Ovis aries: one gene and its partner. The protein of the gene in region 1 purifies or fractionates together with the protein of each later gene. This does not show direct contact. Links are inferred from orthologs where the notes say so. Each region holds a gene or a part of one and is shown on either strand. Other genes may lie near its edges. The genes, in order: WASHC3 and CAPZB.

Region 1 (3,824 bases):
TGAATTTATTTTTGTATATTATATATATTCCAGTGATCATCACAATGGAATTTGTTATATTAATTAAATGGATGTTAAATTTTCTAATACCTAATTGTTAAGTAAAGCGAAGTGAAGCAAAAGTCATTCAGTCATGTCTGACTCTTTGTAACCCCATAGACCTCTCTAGGCCAGAGAAGTCCATGGAAATCTCTAGGCCAGAATTCTGGAGTGGGTAGCCTTTCCCATCTCCAGGAGATCTTCCCAACCCAGGAATCAAACTGGGGTCTCCTGCACTGCAGGTGGATTCTTTACAACTGAGCTATCAGGGAAGGCCTAACTGTTAAGTAAACAGTCATCTAATTCATCCACCGAATATACAATATTTCTAAATTATAGCTCCTCCCACACAGAGCCTTGGACCACATGTGCTCAGTTGCTCAGTTGTGGCCGACTTTTTGTGATCCCATGGACTATAGCCCGCCAGACTCCTCTGTCCATGAAATTTTCCATGCAAGAATATGGAGTGAGTTATGTTTTATGAATTCAACACAGGTGCTAGAGACAGTGCAGTGTAGGAGATAAGAGATAGGATTCTTGACACCAGATTGTTTGGGTAAAAATTCTAGTTCTTACATTTATTGTCTGACCTTCAACAAGTTAACCTCTGTGTATCTCATTTGATATACCTGTAAAGTATTAATAGAACTTATAAAAGTATTTACTTCATAGGGCTGTTGTGAGAATTAAATGAGTTAATTTATAAAAAGCACTTAACACACCACATATACAGTCAGAAACCTTTACATGGGAGGTATTACAATCACAGTCAACATCATAATGATCTAAAAGATATCCCATAAAAAGTACCTCCAGGTACAAATGCAAAATTCCATATACATAGGAAGTCTGTTTGTTTGGTATTACTTGTTAGACCACCATTTTTGATTATCTTATTTTGGATTTTAATACCTCACTGAGATATACTAGCAATTATTCTACAATGAAGAATTTTTATTTCTTGAAATAAAAAGTAATACACAATTTAAATTTTTACAGTGCATAAATGAACATTAAAACATAAGAGCCAAACATAGAGTGCAGGCCTTACAAGGACGCTGATTTGAACAAATCAACTCCCCAAACACACTCTTTGAGACAAGTGGTATTTCTTAGATTAGGACCTCTCAAATTTCAAGAGCCTTCAAATCACATACGGATCTTATTAAAATGAAAATTCTGACTCAGTGGGTCTGGGGTGGAACCTGAGATTCTGTATTTCTAACAAGTTCTCAGGTAGGTTGCTGGCCCATGGAGCAGAGTTTTGGTAACAAAGAGTTAGATATTATCAGGGAATTATTGCTCATTATATTGTATATGATGAAGGCATTGTGGTTATACACGAAAATGTCAGAACTTTTCATAGATGCTCAGGGAATTATACATGGGTGAAAAGATATGATGCCTGGAATTCACTTCAGTGACAAAAAAAGACAGATGAAGCAATGCAACAAAATCTCAACTGGTGAATCCAGGTAACGGGCACTTGGTTAGTCATTGAACTATTCTATTTTTATTCATGTGTGAAAATGTCATACTAAAACATTTAAAAGACACATTTCTTACAAGAACCAAGAAAAAAATTTCCAGAGGGAACTTGAAGAAAGTAGTTATAGTCAAGATTATTCCTAGTCCTGTATAGGTCAAATTTCTGTTTTATAGGCAAGAAAAATATTAACTTCAGGAAACTGTTCAGAATAATAAAATGAAAAGCTAATAACTTTTTTCAAACTGTATTTTTTATCTTAAAGTTTAAAATATTATTAATCAAGTGCTATATTTTTATTTAGCTTCTTTATTTGAACCTGCAGATTTGGTCTATCTGGTTCACCCAAGAAGAGGTGCTCATGCTTCCCGGAACTTAATTACATACCTGTGATTGCTCTGAAGTGGCTTCAGAATGTGTTCCATTTGTGATCCTAGTGACATTTACAGGAGATACTTCAAATGTGACATCATCTAGGCCCGGGATAGATGATAACTGAGAGGAGAAAATTAATGTTGGTATATGAGGATAATATTAGATCTTTAAAGAGTAAGTTTCTAAGTATGTGTTGTGTTTCAAATAGTTTTCTTAAGTTTTAAAGCTATAGAAGTGGTTTCATAAAATCTCATCTTTGGTTGAAATTCTCCATGCCATAAACTACTTAAAAGTGAAAGGGATTGACAAATAAAATATTTTTGAAGAATTTTTCACTAATCTAATTTAGGTTGTCACCATTCTTTCTCAGGAATTATTATTTTTTTAATAAGGAATCCTGGTGTAAGGAATGAGAGCATGGGCTTTGGAGTCAGATTGCCAAGGTTTAAGTCACAACATATGTTGCTGCTGCTGCTGCTAAGTCGCTTCAGTCATGTCCGACTCTGTGCGACCCCATAGATGGCAGCCCACCAGGCTTCCCCATCCCTGAGATTCTCCAGGCAAGAACACTGGAGTGGATTGCCACTTCCTTCTCCAATGCATGAAAGTAAAAAGTGAAAGTGAAGTCGCTCAGTCGTGCCCGACTCTTGGCGACCCCATGGACTGCAGCCTACCAGGCTCCTCTGTCCATGGATTTTCCAGGCAAGAGTACTGGAGTGGGGTGCCACTGCCTTCTCCGACAACATATGTAACCCTGTGCAAATCTTCCTAGGCCTCAATTTTCTCACCTGTACAGTGGGGGATAAGAAAACTTACATCCCAAATTTGTAAAAAGATTTTGATTAAATATATTTTGTTCCCCTTCAAAATGTGCTCTGTAGCACATTTTAAGTTTGAATAATCTGGGAAATGAGAAAACTCTTGCCACATGTTAACATATGATGCAGCTTATTCTTTTCTTCTTTCTTTAGTAATATCACTTTATGTTACTACAATGTGTTAGTTTCCATACATAAAAAATGAGCATGATGTCAGTGGTTAAGCATTTTAGGTTGGATTTCCAAGATCCATGCAAACATTCTTTTCTGATTTCATTCTGGTATCAGTGACACACATCTGTCAAATGTTTGGCTAACTTTAAGGAATTAACTCTATGGTCATGGAAATAATTAAGGTTAACCTGTCCACATGGCAACTTAACTTGTGACCGTGGACTCTAACTTAAGAATTCCACAAACATTAAAATAATATACATATTCATAATAAAGAATAATGAAAAAAACAATGGCAATAAGATCTAAAGCAACAATATTCATTGAAAACTGTTGACTGATGACAGTATTTAGCACATTGGCTATGGCCCTAATAGTTTCAAGTGGGTATGGCTGCTAAGAAACTATTTTGAACATGTTCAAGGCCAAATATCCTAAATTACAAGCTAAAGAAATGTTCCGAGGGAAATACAGTAGCTGAAGACCACAGGAAGATGTAAAAGCATAAATCAGACATTCTGATCCCTATGCTAGAAGATATTAGTAATTTCACTTCCTTCAGTTCAGTTCAGTCACTCAGTCGTGTCCAACTCTTGGCAAGCCCATGGATTATAAATAGTCAATAAATATTTTTTCAGGTCAGTTTTTTTTGATAACAGAACAAAGTCACAAAAATATATTAGCATCTCCATTATTTTATATACAAGAAAAGCACACAAAACCTGCAAGCTTTCAAACTGAAACAACCTTCTATTTTTGCTTTTATATGACAGTTACCTTTTGTGATATCTGACATCAGAACTGGTACTACTCACTAGCATTTAATATATTTACAAATGGAAAATAGCTGAGATTTTCTCCAAATTTTGTTCTGGAGACATGTAAAGTTTTACAGAACTTTTTCCTGTGTTATCAATGACTACTATTAAGAT
Region 2 (3,867 bases), on another chromosome or scaffold:
TCCCCTGGAGAAGAGACAGGTTACCCACTCCAGGATTCTGGCCTGGAGAATTCCATGGACTGCATAGTCCACGGGGTTGCAAAGAATCGGACACGACTGAGCGACTTTCGCTTCCTAACCAACTGCACAAACTTCCCCTTTGGCTTGCTTCTCTCCACAGCTCTCCTTTTCCCACAGCGGTGGGTGGGGTGGCGCACTGAGAACGAGGAATGGCAAACGGAGGCGGAGGAGCAGAGAGGAGGGCGCGCAGGAGGCGACGCTGCCAGAGCCGGCTGCCCTGCGGCCACAGGCGAGGCGCTGTGCGCGGGGTTCTGTCCCTCTGGGGTGCTCTGGTCCTGCCTGAGCCTGTGTGAGCAAACTCCTAAGACCCTGTGAGCTGGGTTTTCCTTGTGGGTTAAAACAGGGATGATAGTAATAAAGTCCACATGAAATTGAGAAGCTCCAGTAATAAAGAAACCGCAGTGCTCAGCCTTCAAGCGTGAAGCGCCAGGTCCCGGGGGGTGGGGCGGGGCGGTTCACACCCATTCCCTTTTCCAGTGGACAAATGGTCCCCGAAGGCCGGCAACGTTATGTCCACTTTACAAGGAGTAAACCAGACCCCTGAGAGATGAGGGTTCGTGCTCAGCCCAGCGCACCTCCCTGCTTTGCACTCCGTAAAGCTCTGGATGGTCGTAATCTGTCGTGCTGACCCTCTGGAGTTCTTTCTTTTTTTTTTTTTGGCCATGCTGGGCAGCACGTGGGATCTTCTTTTCCCGACTGACTGAGGGAAGTTGAACCTACGCCCCCTGCTTTGAAAGCACAGAATCTTAACCACCAGACCGCCAGGGAAGTCCTGGGGCTCTTCTTAACGCGCTCCCTGGAGAGTTTTGCTGCAAAGGTCTTCTAGAGAGTTGCAGAGTACATTGAACAAACTGATTTGAAATATATATGTCGAGTGCCTACTGCGTGCTAGCCATCGTTATAGGGACTCAGCAGTGAACGCCATGGACAAATGGCCCTCAAAGAGCACTCCTTTTTGTGTGCAAGGCTGACCAAAACAGACAAGTAGGGACTTCCCGGCTGGTCTGGTGGTCGGGAGGGGGCAGGGTTCCATCCCTGTTCAGGGAGCTCCCACCAGCTCCATGGCACAGCCAAAAAAAAACCCACTCCACACAAACAAGTATATATTATGCCTTGTGATGCTAAGTTCTGGGAAGCAGAATAAAACAGGGAAGGGGGATTTTATATCCAATGGCCAGAGAAGGCTCTGTGATGACAGCTGTGTTCACCACTCAGATACTGAGGTCTACAAGAGCATCATCTCCATAAGAACAGAGCCCTGGGGTCTTTTTGGTCCCTGTAGCGCCGGTCCCCAGCAGAAGTTCGGCTTCTCAGGAGGTGCTGAATGAACATTGGTTGAACAAGTGAATAAACAAACAGCCATCATTTCAGAAACCTCCACATCAGGGTAGGCACGGGGTTTTGGATTCACGTGCCATCAGCTGACTCTTAGGGAGAACCTTTTGTGTGCCAGCCTCCACGACCACAGAACAGCCCTTTCCTCTGAAGATCTTCGCTAAGGATGAGGGTGGTGGCCGCGGTGTTTAGCCAGTAGGTCAGGACGGACTCTTTTGCAACCCCATGGACTGTAGCCCATCAGATTTCTCTGTCCATGGGATTTCCCGAGGCAAGAATACTGGAGTGGGTTCCATTTCCTTCTCCAGCGAATCTTCCAGATCCAGGGATCAAAACCCATGTCTCCTGCATTGGCAGGCAGGTTCTTTACCCGCTGAGCCCCGACGGAAGCCCCCCAAATACGAGTACATGCATGCTAAGTCGCTTCAGTCATGTCTGACTCTGCAACTCCATCATAACCCACCAGGCTCCTCTGTCCATGGGGATTCTCCTGGCAAGAACACTGGAGTGGGTTGCCATTTCCTTCTCCAGGGGGATCTTCCCGACCCAGGAATTGAACCCAGGTCTCTTAAGTCTCCTGCATTGGCAGGCGGGTTCTTTACCAATAGTGACACCACCTCGCAATCTAACAGCTGAGAAGAGAGCAAAGAGAACAAGGGAAGAACAAGGGGTTAAGTGCAAAGAGTAAGAGTTTCAGGGTCAGGAAGGAGTTCAGCAAGTGTATTGCCTGACTTTTTTCTTTTTTTTTTTTGATGCAAAAATAGCTAGTTCTGCTTTTTGGACTGAGGCTCGCTGAGTCAGGGGTTCAAAGAGAAGACCATGAGGGTGGGAGTGGCCGATGTCATCCACAGCAGATGGTGATGCCCCAGAGACAGGCTGTGTCCTCCACCCCCTCTGGCCCAGGAATCAAGGTCGGGGCAGACAGCTAAGCTCAGCTCCCTGGGGACCCCCTCTCTGCCTCTCTACCGGGCCAGCCCATCCCGAGAACATCACCCTTGTTCCACCCTTGGACTCCACATCAGGCTCAGGAGAGTCTCAGAGGCCAGGGGTGTGAGAGGAATCGTTCCAGCATCTGTTATGAACCGTTATTTCCATTCCTTTGGCCGAGTTTTCTCCCGAGCCCTGAAGGCACTAGGTCAGCGCTGCTTTCGGCCCAAATGTCTGATGTCCCAGGCCTTCCTTCAGCCTCACAAAAGAAGGGGATGATTATTAAAAGAACAGACGTTGCATTCCATATTTACCCCAGATGACACTGCCTTGATCCCTAAAATAACTCCAGACCTCCTGGATGGAACTTGCTCGTTCTTTTTCATCTTGCTCTTATGCAACTGTTTATGGAGAACATCACCATAGTGATATCAGAGCGGGTCAAGTGAAACGCCAACCCCTTGGGTGGTTATTGGTTTCCCTTTGTAACTTGAAACATGACTTTTTCACCCCAGATCTACTCTTTCATTTCTTCTAAGCACTTCAGTTCTCCGCTCCAAGTCAACAGCAGTACTTTCTGACAGATTCCCAGCAGTTAAAACCACAGAGGTGGTCCACACTGGGGTGGGCGATGGAAGTACTTGGGCTGAGTTTCCAAACTGGAAACTATATTTACCAGAAATCTTTCCTTCAGATAAAACTCGGGTCAAAGTCTCAGAGTGCTGAAAGAGGCACTAAATAAACGGAAAGTCTAAAGAACCTTCAGTGCTTGCTCCAAGGAACAAGACTACAGCGTTCAACAAATAAACACAGCTGGCGCGGGGACAGCCTTTAGCAAATACTTATCTTCTTGATTATTTATTTTTTTTCATAATCATCATCTTGGCCAACAGCCCTTATTATAGCATTCTCATACGCTGTTGGTGGGAGTGTGAATTTAGAAGACTTTTCTAATAGAAAACTTGGCAATGGGTAGGAAAAGCCTTGACAGGGTGCTCTTTCTGTGAAGCAAATGTCTATTCATGGGTTCTGAGAAAATCATTAGGAATGTGAGCAGAGAAATTCATACAAAGGTGTTCATTGCTAATAGTGGTGGAAGAATGGAAAAAATCAAACGATACAACACGAGGGGATTGCTTTAAAAGAATCACTATTTATCCATACGATAGATACTAAGCCAGAATTACAAATCACACTACAGGAGACTCTTTAATAACGTGTAATACATTCACGATGTGTTCTCAGATAGGAAAAAAGCAGGTAACAAAAATGTGCATGCAATATGATCCCATTTTTGCGAAACATGTATGCACATGGAAGGGAAAAAGGGTAGAAAGATAGGTTCTAAAAAGATGAGCCGTGATTATTCCTTGGGTAATTTTCTGGTTTGGGTGTTGTATCTATAATTTTTACAATAAGCATGTAATTCTGTAGTCAGATGTTTAAAAAGCTATTTTAAAGAAGAATAAGCTGCCATGCCTTTTAAAATCACCTCTGATGGACTTTATGGGCAGAAACAGACTCTTAGTCTAAGAACGTCCTTGT

The links.
Region 2: the proteins of WASHC3 (region 1) and CAPZB purify together in Homo sapiens (co-immunoprecipitation; 4 studies listed by BioGRID and IntAct, with this or other methods). This does not show direct contact. The link is inferred for Ovis aries from reciprocal best matches to the Homo sapiens genes WASHC3 and CAPZB.

Annotation. Positions count from the first base shown.
Region 1 is NC_056056.1:171,453,472-171,457,295, forward strand, and holds part of WASHC3 (WASH complex subunit 3), read right to left. Parts: intron 2,021-3,824; coding exon 1,913-2,020; intron 1-1,912. UniProt on the Homo sapiens protein: Acts as a component of the WASH core complex that functions as a nucleation-promoting factor (NPF) at the surface of endosomes, where it recruits and activates the Arp2/3 complex to induce actin polymerization, playing a key role in the fission of tubules that serve as transport intermediates during endosome sorting.
Region 2 is NC_056055.1:246,877,146-246,881,012, forward strand, and holds the start of CAPZB (F-actin-capping protein subunit beta), read left to right. Parts: upstream 1-1,014; 5' UTR 1,015-3,867. UniProt on the Homo sapiens protein: F-actin-capping proteins bind in a Ca(2+)-independent manner to the fast growing ends of actin filaments (barbed end) thereby blocking the exchange of subunits at these ends.